3 linked regions of the Cricetulus griseus genome follow. The protein of the gene in region 2 interacts with the protein of the main gene of each other region in a pairwise test. Links are inferred from orthologs where the notes say so. Each region holds a gene or a part of one and is shown on either strand. Other genes may lie near its edges.

Region 1 (3,651 bases), on a different chromosome or scaffold from region 2:
CTATACAATTAAGGGTTCCCTCTAAAACAGGTATGGACTCTGTGTCTGTGCCTTGCTCAAGTTACTGTGGCAGAGGCTGAGGTCTCCTGTTGACAGCACTTATTGATGTGTGTGCCCTGCAATTCTTGTAGAAGGACTAAAGTCACATGTAACTGTCCACAGAAAAGGGGTGTGGCCACTAATTGCTGAGCTTAATTGCCTGCCTTCCTTAATTTCTTCCTTCCTTCCTTGCTTCCTCCCTCTTTCCCTGCCTTATTCCGTCCCTCCTTCCCACCCTTCTTCTACCCCCTTTCTTTTTGACTGTACACTTGAATCTCCTGAGGCCACTGAAGTTTTGGACCTCTAGTCTACTGCTTCTTATGCATTTTGCATATGTGTATGCAGAGTGTGGGAAGGGTGTTGGAGTTATGGGGGTGGAGGTGGAGGGAGGGAGATGTTTCCAGAAATGGAAACATTTGAATTCAGGTTTTTTTTAATTCTTTTGACTTGACTGTAATTATCATGCATGTTTAGGCTATAACTGAAGGGTGAATTGTTATATAATCACACACACACACACACACACACACACACACACACACACACACACACATATATATATATATATATATATATATATATATATATATAAGACAGGGTGAGGGGCATTGATTAATGAGTCTCAGAGTTAAATCCAGAATCTGAAAGGGAGAAAGTAGGGATATCACAGGGTTTCTCTAAATTAAGGCCTAAATTTCCATTGGCTGCTTTTATCACAGATATGCATACAATAATAACACACACACACACACACAGAGAGAGAGAGAGAGAGAGAGAGAGAGAGAGAGAGAGAGAGAGAGATCTTTACTAGGGCCCTTCAAAAGTACCTAACAATTGAAATCAGTCCAAATGCTTCTCTCAAGCACACACTCAGTGTTCTTGGCACTGTATCAAATTGGGACTCCAGTGTCACCATAGATGACACAATGTTAACCTCTTCCAAAATTGAGGTGAAACAAAGAGGATTTTCCAGTGGTAGACAGACCCTACAGTCTTAGCCAATCAGGTGTACAGATCATGTAGTCTCCGCAAGTTTGATTGGAGTCTTGGGGAAAGTGACTTCATCATTGTGTGCCTTGATTTTTCCATCTATACATCGAGAATAATGATGACTGCTGTTTGCTCACAGTGACTTCCTGAAGGTTTGGCTGGGGTGGTCCCTCTTGGGCTGGAGGTCTTCAGCTGGACCCTAGGAAGTGTGCTGGGACTTGAATCCCTGGGCTCTTTTGAACAGTTCTGTTTGCAGAGCAATAATAGTGTTCTGTCTTTTTTTTCCTCTCTCAGGGTAATCAGGAAGCAGCGGCCGCCCCTGACACAATGGCTCAACCTTATGCCTCAGCCCAGTTTGCTCCACCTCAGAATGGCATCCCCGCAGAATACACGGCCCCTCATCCCCATCCCGCGCCAGAGTACACCGGCCAGACCACCGTCCCCGACCACACATTAAACCTGTATCCTCCTACACAGACGCACTCGGAGCAGAACGCTGACACAAGTGCGCAGACCGTCTCCGGCACCGCCACAGTAAGTGGATGCTGCATCCTAGACCTGGAGGGTGCTGTTCCCAAGCAGGTGCCCCAGTCCTGCTGCTGGTAGTGAACCATGTACACTGTGTGCTAGAGATCTTGTCAAGCAAAGCAGCTCTATTCCTCTCCTTATATTACCAACTTTCCAGTGACTGGGCATCCTTCCTTACTAGTTAGAACATGTTTCCATTTGCCATATTTATTTGTAAATGGACATAGGCATCTATTTTCCTGTCTCTAAAGTGATGAGTTGAACACAATGCTATCCCAGTAGAGTGCATACTTTTAAGCTATTTCATGGAAATATGGGGGTCAGGGGATGTAGCTCAGATATAGAGTGCTTGTTTGGCATGTCCAAATTCTTGGGTTTAGTCTTCAGCACTGTAAAACCAGCAACAACAAAAAACACAACTTGGACACATAACTTAGCCACCACAAATTTATCTGTTTTAGGTGTATGGTTTGCTGGTTTTAAGAACATTTACACAGCTGTGTAACCATTGCCAAATTTTGATGTTAGAACATTTTTTAATCAATCCTAAAACAAAGCTTGGGCCCATTTGCAGGCCAGCCATCTTTATTCTTGGGTGAGTTCATTTGAGTCTCATTTATATTTGTATCTATGTGTCCTTAGTTTGTGATGTGTTGTTTGTGCATTGGATCATATCAAGTAATCAAGAATGGCCTTCAGCTTTCTGTGTGGGGTGGAAATAAGCTTGAACTAAGCCTCTTCCCTGAGCCTAAGTGCTGGGATTGCAGGGATGCCCTATCATGTCCAGTTTCTGCAGTGCTAGGAACAGAACCCAGGGCTTGGTGCATGCTAGGCCAGCACTCTCCTAGCCAAGCTATACCATCTAGCTGTAGTCTGTGGGAGTTTGTTGCTAGTACATAAAGAAGGGATAGATATGAGGGATTATTAGTTGGGCAGGAAAAGTGTTAATCCTTAAGAAATATAAACAGAAAGATGGACTTGATGGATAAGAATTAAGCAAGCAATCAGAAGGCAGAGACAAAATTTTATAGCCACCCTATGTGAAATCTAGTAGTGGGATGGTAATCAAACATGACTGTGGGCACCAATATTTACATTAAAATTAGATGCTCATCTATGAACCACCTATAATAATTAAGGATCTGTAAACCTGTATAGTCCATGTTGTGGAAAACTTCCTCTGCAAAATTCATTAGAGATGCAAATAAGCTCTAGCATGTAGCATTTTACTGGTGTAAGGCAATGCTGCCTCTTCCTTCCACCCTCAAGGGCCTGGAAACCCAGAATCCTGACACTGAACATACCTGTGTTGGGCACATGTGTAAGTAGCTCCCATCTTTGTACTGCTGAATACCTATTTCATTGCATGGACATACCACAGCTTGTTTTTCCATTGTGCATAGATATGTGGGTTGTTCTCTCTCCATGGTAACTCACGGAAAATTAAAACTAATGTGAACACAAGTAAGCATGTCAAGTGCAAAACAGAAGAGAAGCAAGAATAGGTGTGTTAAAGTATAAAGAAACAGAGACAAACACTTTCTTGAGACTTTCATTTTCTAAATATGTATGACCTTCATTTTCTCCCTGTAACAACTGAGAGTGAGGGGTGGTATTTGGAAATGAGGGAGAGTGATTTGGGATTTGGGCAAAGATGCCAGGAAAATGCTCTGAAAAATATCCTAGAATATTTGAAAGCATGGAAATCCTGAGTTTAGAAAGCATGCTTTTGTGGTGGGGCTGGCCATTGCTTTGTCTTCCCTGGTCCTATTTAAATGATGCACACTATAGGAGAGGAAGTAATAGAAGATAGATACCATCTTTTCTGCTTCAAACAGTTATATGCAGATTCTTTCCTCTCTTTGGCCAAAAAGGAAGGTACTTATATGTGTCTGGGTATATACCCATGAAGAGGTCAAAGGAACTCCTTGAATGTCCTCTATGGCTCTCCACCCTAGTCTCTTGAGACAAGGTCTATCACTGGACCTGGAACTCACTGTCTTTTCAGGTAGGTTGACAGGCCATCAAGTGCCAGCAGTGTTCTTATCTCCAGCCCCCACTGCCCCAGTGTCAGAGGCACACTGTGGTCACACC
Region 2 (3,651 bases):
TTTTTTAGTTTTTATTTTATATTATCTACAAAGTAAAAGTTTTCCCTTAACTTAAAAGTTGAACCACTGTAGACAGTGATTGCCTCATCAAACTTGATTTATAAATAATAATCCGTCAGTTTGGCGGTAAGAATTTACTGAACTTCTGTCAAGTTTAGTAAAAGGGCGTTCCAAGTCTTGATTTTTTTTTTTTTTTTAAAGCGGTAATAGCAGCAAGAATCACTCTTGTTACTTCTTTTGCTAGCTGATGCGTTCATGACTCTCAAGGGCCATTAAAAAATAAATAACTTCCAGTTTCAGCAAGCAGAGCTGGGTACTTGCGGGACCCTGCAACAGCACATGGAATTATGGAACAGCCACAAGTCCCTACATGCCTCTACTCGGTCCAAAACATCCTCCACTGCAAGTGAACTGTTAGCATTCCTATCGGATGTTAAATCAGTGTATTTTTTTAAAAAACAAAATAAATGAACTTCTAGTTTTCTGTGCTTCCAGTTGGTAGAAGCAGTAGAAGGGAGGAGGGAATTTGGCCTTTCGGTTCCTCCAGGGCAGCCTTACAACTGCTGTTGGTGGTGGGCTTGTACTGTAAAAAAGAAAAGTGGCTATTTAAACAGAACACAGGCACCACTGCCCACCAACCTAGTGTCTGCAGCACATGACTGTCATCTACTCTCCTGCTGAGTAACACTGGAGGTTTAATGCTAGCGCCCCTCTCCCCCCAGCTGCAGCCAAGGTGGGGTTGGGGAGGGAAGGGGGTGAGGAGAAACAAACCAGTCAGACGTGAAACCACTTCAGATACAAGTCCTGGACTTGCTGCTTGTGGGGCAGGAGCACAGGCCTTCAAACCCCCTCCCACTAATGCTAGCCAAGCACCAATACTTTCCAAGTCACAGGGGAGACAGGTATTGCCACAGCAGCCATCCAGTACGAGACATCATGGGTGTCCTGTGTCAGGGCACAGGCTGGGGCTAAAACTACACTCAATCCAGTCCGCACACAGCTCATCAGTGTTCTCCAAGCTACAATCAAAGTCGGCCATGGGTATAAACCCCCCACATCAGCCTATAGGGACTCAGGAAGGAACACGCTTGCCCTGTCCAGCCTGTCATACATAACCAGGAAGGCCAACTGAGTCCTCGGCATGCATCAGCTACCCAGAATGAGGCTGCTGCTTCTCAAGCCAACCCTGATACCAGCAGAACACACACAGACTCAGCTCCAGAGGCCCTGAGCCCTGATGCTCCCTGACCATCACAATCCCTCCTGCAAACACTTGGACGGGCCTTATTAGTCAGGTTTGGAGCCTGAAACACTCACTGGTCCTGCCTGCCATTCTACCTGTGCGAGCAGAATGCTCGGGGTGCCCCGGCGGCCCCTGCACACACACGCCTCACCTGAAGGGTGCGTCATATAGGGGAAATGCGCTGTTGTCGAGACTGGAATGGGCTGTAGTGCACTTTGAGCGAGGGCGGCCTGGGGACCGCCGGGTGGCTGTGTCGTCATTAGCATCATTGGCGCATGGGCAGTTGGATGAGAAGGAACCATTCCTGACTGTACATGAGCCTGAAACAGAGAGCTCTTTTACGCATACAGGCAACATCTCCGTCTTAAACAACAAGTCAACTGTTCCTTTCATTGGACTGGGACTCAAGAAGGGGCAAGATGGACTCCTTGAGGCAGATCCTGTAGGGTTGGGATGGGAAAGTTGGCCACATCTTCCTAGTCCCCAGTGCCTGCTCACAGATTATCACACAGGGCAAGGTCTTCACCAAGAGCAGGCCTCTATTGGGGCGGGAGGGGCACATACTTAACTTGCTATGGCATGGAGCCAAATACATCAATGCCCTTTTCAAGTCAGAAAGCAACTGACAAGGAAGGGCCTGTGAGGAGACTACCTCCCCAGCACCCATAGCAGCTTCCTGAGTCTCTCCTCTTCCGCCCTCCCCAAGTCGTGATGGGTTCCCCAGAAACAATGAAGCAGCACTTAGGCCCCTCAATGTAATAGCTTGGCTGATGGAGCAAAGGGTGCAGTTAATGGCTCCAATGAGATGAGAATGATCTGAAGTTGGGTCAGCCTGGTGTCCTGTACCAAGTGGCAACAAGTCTAACTTAGAAAAGTGATGTTGGTTGACCGGTTGGTGAGCTCGACCTCAGCTCTGCAGGGAGTGGGCAGAGCAGGAAGAGGCTGCTTCCTGCCTCCCATCGTGTGCATTGCTCTAGACCATCACCCCAGCGAAGTGCTGGTTCACACCTTCAAACAGGCCCATGGTTCTCTGTTTTCCCTATGTTAAGCCTCTTACCCTTCTACACAAACACACAATTGAGGTTTGGGGATAGCCCATCTTAAAGTAAATTCGCAGCCTCTGCTAGACACTTACAGGACCCTGGCTCTCTTAAGTTTCACTCCACCAAAGCACACTGACCAAACTGGCTCCCCTCCCAACTGTCACCAGCCAATCAACAGGAGTATATACTACAGACCCTTAGCTCTGGGGAAAGAACACCTAGTAACAAACTAGCCTTCTGCAAGAGACCCAACTGCACAGCATCCCTAGCTCACACCTTGCCAGAGCCTCACTGGCGCACTGTGACAGGAAATGGAGTCATTCAGTAAACCTAAGTGAGACCCGCCTCAGGCAGCTACAATCAAAGTAGCAGAGACACCTGATGCAGCCACCTCACACTAAGAGCCATGGAGGCCTCCCCTGGCCCTGGGCTGCCCTGGAGCTTCAGTTACACTGCACCATAGTCCAAGGCCAAGCGCTCAGGAAGCACAACACAGGATTGCAGCAGATAGAGGGTAACCAGGCAAACAACTGAGACCCGTCCCGGAATTCGTGTGTCTAACATTCAAGCTAACAGGCCTAGTGCAGTCACCTCAGAGAGCTGAGAACCATTGAAAGCCTGCCTGCCATCCCTTCCGGGCTCCCATGTGTGCATGTGTAGAGGTGTCTGTGTGTGGACACATAGACACATAGTGGTTAAGCTAGAAAGACGGAGCAAAGCAGACACAGAAAGGAAAGGACTGGGGTGCATTCCAGACTCAGAGTTTTAAGGTCTCAGCTGGGAATTGCTAAGTCACAATTTCACTGATCCCATCACAAAATCATAGCAACATTCACTGAGGGCCAGAAGATCACATACTAAGCAGGGAGGGGGAGACAGGCAGATGGCACCACACATAGGGTTTCCTGGCTTGGGGAGCATCTGGCTCCTTGCTGCTTATCTGACAACCACCACACCCTACGTGGCCTTCACAGAAACTTGGCTAGTGCTGGTTTACCTGAGGTACGTGGGCCATGTGGGGAGGGGTGGTATATGCCGGCTGAACATGAGAAGGGTGGATGGTGAAGACCGTCTGTTGTGCTGCTGGGAAACTGCTCTGTGGAGACTGTGTATTGGAAGCAGGTGTCATGGAAGGTGGGGTTGGTGCCAGCCCCGCGTGGTAAATGGCTGACTGCTGCTGTGGACTGGCCAGATGAAGAGCTTGGGCGGCTTGATGTTGATGGTGCTGCAAAGCAATGGGAAACTTCTTTACTGAGAAGTCATTAGGGTCAGAGCTTCACACACTGAAGGCAGCAGAAGCCCCACCCAACTCTAGCCATGCCCAGGAGATGCAGGGAGAAGAGCATCATGGGCATCTCTTGTCCA
Region 3 (3,651 bases), on a different chromosome or scaffold from region 2:
TTAAAACTTTCTAACAAGTAGGAAGCTATTTTGAAGGTGTAGACCTTTAAATATAGAAAATAACATAGCAGCTATGGGTATTTAGCCAAGCGGATGTCTAACAACATTAGTACACAAGGGACTTCTTCCCAGTACTGGCTTTCAAAATTTCAATACCTCACAATGGAACTGGGAAAAGGGGAACTCATCAATCAACTGAGGAAAGCCCACCGGTTTCTCAGTGCATTCCCACCAACAGCCTCACCAACATACAAGGGTGAAAGCACCTAACTGGAGAGCCCACTGGGCACACTCAGACGGCTAACTTACCTGACATCTTTGATGTCGTGCTGGAAGAGACTCCATTGATATCACTGGAGCTCGTGTTCACAGGCTTTGGCATATATTCTCGCTTGGCCTCTTTGGAGGTAACCGATATTCTGTAATACACATGGGAGAGGCCAAGTCAGACCTTTTTCCCAGACAGTAGAGCCACCAACAGGCCTTTGCTATTCTTGAAGACCACCAGACCCAATGAGATTGTGAGAACAAGGATTGTGTACACTGACTTCTGGGCACCCCGAGTGTCAGGGATATGAGCGGTGTGCAGTTCTTCCATTGTGTACTTTAGTTTCTAGTTGAAATTCACCGGGAAGAATGTCCTCATAATGTCCCTGAGGCCTAGCAGACACTGCCATAGGCTAGCTGCCTTCTTTCCTCTCTGCTGGAGAGGGAACCATCCAAATATGTTCATATGACACCTAGAAGAAGGCCACCTGCCTACAGAAGTGGATGCTTCTGGAATGGCCTCCCCTGTGTAACTACAGCACCAACTGAAGCAAAAAATCTCTCCAAATTTATTCATTACTATAATCCTATGTAAAACAATTTTCTGTTATAAAGCCTAATCAAAACATAGTGTAGGTTTAGCCCAATAATTTGATTAATGGGGCTGCTGTGCACACTGTAAATGATATTACTGATTTTCAGAAAGTAGGAATTGCACAGACCATAAAAGTCCCAAGGCAGAGAACAGTATTTCTTATCATTTAGAGGCTATCATTGAGCACAGCCTGATAACATTTTTATATAGTTCTGAGTGTCATCTGGCTCTCTCAGCACACACTCCACCTCTCAACAGGTAAACAGAGTGAACCCTTTGTCAAGCAGCAAGGAAGCCACAGGAGCTCAGGCAGGATGGGTCACAAATGGAGGGACATTAATAAAAAGAAAAAGGAGGGAAGCCATTCCAGCCCTTTACCCTGTTCTGCCCTCTTGTCCCAAGCTACATATATATTATCTTAGCCTCATCTCATACCCAACCTGAAAGCCAGCTTGAGAATTCCAAACAGAATGGGCAGAAGGGGCTAGAGGACAGATGGTGGCTGCACTCTGCAGCCCCCTGCCTAAGCAAAGCAAAAGTGCTTACCGCAACTCTAGCTTCTTCTGTAGCTCCTTGAGGATCTCTGTGGACTGCTTGTGATAGTCTAATGCTGCCTCTACAAACACGGCCAGCTGGCTGACTTGCTCTATCTGTGATAGAAATACAAAGTTACTCCATGCTGGCCAGAGCTCTTGGGATGTCCAGAGCAAACAGGAAACCTGGTGACAACAGCTCATCTCTGTAGGGCAGCCTCAGCCCTGGTCCAGTCCATCTCATCTCATCCACCTCGGAGCCCTACAGTCATGATGAGGGTCACATGGAGCTGGAGAGGCTGGAAAAACACTGCCAAATTGATCTGTGATCATGAATCCACTGTAATTCCAACCAAACACCATTTTAAAGTTATAGAATGATATTCTTACAATTATTCTCAATGCCCTAAAACACGTGGATCTGAAGATGGCAGGTGGCTTAGAGTATTATTGCTGGGAAGAGACATCATGACCACAGCACCTCTTATAAAGGAAAACATTTAATCATGGTGGCTTACTTACAGTTCAGAGGTTTAGTCCATTATTGTCAAGGCAGGAAGCAGAGCAGCATGCAGGCAGAGAAGGAGCTGAGAGTTCTTATATCTTGACTCACAAGCAACAGGAAGCGGTCTGAGACACTGGGCTTGAGCATATATGAGACTTCAAAGCCCACCTCCACAATGACACATTTCATTCAATAAAGCCACACATACTCCAACAAAGACATACCTCCTAATATTGTCACTCCCTTTGGGGGCCACTTTCTTTCAAACCACCACAGTGGGAGAGAGTTTGCCCAACTGTAAGTGAAACCAATGCTTGAGAGATGAGCTTTCTTAATGGCATGTCTCTGTGAGTGCTTTCTAGTTAAGTCAGAATAAGAAACAAAGCCAATGAACCCATGACCAGAGAAAGCAGGGGCAGCATGCAGGTCACACCTGCTCCAGGCCAATGAATTGTTTGTCCCTGTGTTTCTGTTACCATCCAACAAAGTCTTTCTCCTGAAACACACAGCAGAAAGGGATGAGCAGTGCAGACTCCACTGTTCCCCTTTCCCACAAACTGACAAGCCCAAAGATCTGCAGAGCTGAAGGGGGCCTGAGAGTTTCCTGCTTATCAGTGGGTTCAAGAACCACTACAGGAAATAAGGATTAAGTTTATTTCTAGAACCTTCTATAGCAAGGTCCAGAGGATTGAGGCAATTCCCCAACCCATCCACCCCATGCCCACCCCAAATCTCTGATATTCCAGCTCCAGACAGAGATACAAATCAAAACTATGTGTCCCAGGTCTTCCAACCAGTCTGGGGCAAAACCTGGCTGCTTCCTCACTCTGTAGTCTCTTGTCTCCCACATAGCCACCTGAGGACTTGCTGGCTTCCACAGATCCATGCTGCCTCCATGTATTGTTGAGAACTCTTTCAGCTGCCTGCCCTTTACTTTTACCACCCACTTATTTTAAACATGGGTTTAATGTGCATTTACAACATACATGGTTCCCACTCATGCCAGGAACGCAATGGGCACATGACTAAGGCAAGCCCTGGCATTGCACTTACTTCACCATGCTCTGTGGCTAGAAAAGCAGCATGGGCTTTCCATTTCCAAAAACCCAATAAACAAAACAAAGACAGTCTGGCCCCTGCAAAATCCTAAGGATTTCTTAAGTTTCACCTCCTTGGCTTTTAAGAACACTTTTAACAAGGCCAGCGCCACAGCCTGACATGATCATGGCAGAATCTGCTATGAAACAATGCTGCTTCCTTGCAACCCTGAAACTGCACACTCAGTAAGAACTGCTATGGCCCCTCTGTCTTTAGTAATAAGTCTGTTTGTACCCACTTCTTTGAACTAAGCTTGTCATTTATGAAACTTAAATGGCTAACCTTCTGCAAATGGGAATGGGGATCACCAACTGTTTCTCTGACATCTGGAGCTGCATCTGGAATTCTTCAATTGATAGCTGACTTTGGGGAGGCAATGGAACCCAGAACCCCTAAACGTTTGACAGACAACAGCACCACTACACGTGGTACCTGCAAACAGTGGGTACCCAGGGAAAGTACTGAGAGTAGTTACTAATGAGTGCAAAGGCAAGTCAGACCCAAACTGGATTATCTATCACTGTTGGAAACCGGAACTTTCCAGCCCCACTCCCACCCCTAGTCCAGGATGTGAACTGTGTGCTGGGAACCAGTAGATGTGGCCTCTGCTTCCAAGGCTCAAACAACTCAAAAATACATAGAAAGAAAGAGCT

Evidence for each region.
Region 1: the proteins of Atxn2 (region 2) and Rbfox1 interact in binary tests that used the Homo sapiens proteins (3 or more experiments, as listed by UniProt). The link is inferred for Cricetulus griseus from reciprocal best matches to the Homo sapiens genes ATXN2 and RBFOX1.
Region 3: the proteins of Atxn2 (region 2) and Sh3gl3 interact in binary tests that used the Homo sapiens proteins (3 or more experiments, as listed by UniProt). The link is inferred for Cricetulus griseus from reciprocal best matches to the Homo sapiens genes ATXN2 and SH3GL3.

Annotation. Positions count from the first base shown.
Region 1 is NC_048600.1:39,428,713-39,432,363, reverse strand, and holds part of Rbfox1 (RNA binding protein fox-1 homolog 1), read left to right. Parts: intron 1-1,320; exon of another isoform or gene 1,321-1,323; coding exon 1,324-1,563; intron 1,564-3,651. UniProt on the Homo sapiens protein: RNA-binding protein that regulates alternative splicing events by binding to 5'-UGCAUGU-3' elements. Regulates alternative splicing of tissue-specific exons and of differentially spliced exons during erythropoiesis.
Region 2 is NC_048597.1:101,660,494-101,664,144, reverse strand, and holds the end of Atxn2 (ataxin-2), read right to left. Parts: intron 3,512-3,651; coding exon 3,284-3,511; intron 1,564-3,283; coding exon 1,395-1,563; intron 584-1,394; coding exon 555-583; coding exon of another isoform or gene 476-554; 3' UTR 161-475; downstream 1-160. UniProt on the Homo sapiens protein: Involved in EGFR trafficking, acting as negative regulator of endocytic EGFR internalization at the plasma membrane.
Region 3 is NC_048596.1:115,310,337-115,313,987, forward strand, and holds part of Sh3gl3 (endophilin-A3), read right to left. Parts: intron 1,513-3,651; coding exon 1,409-1,512; intron 420-1,408; coding exon 310-419; intron 1-309. UniProt on the Homo sapiens protein: Implicated in endocytosis. May recruit other proteins to membranes with high curvature.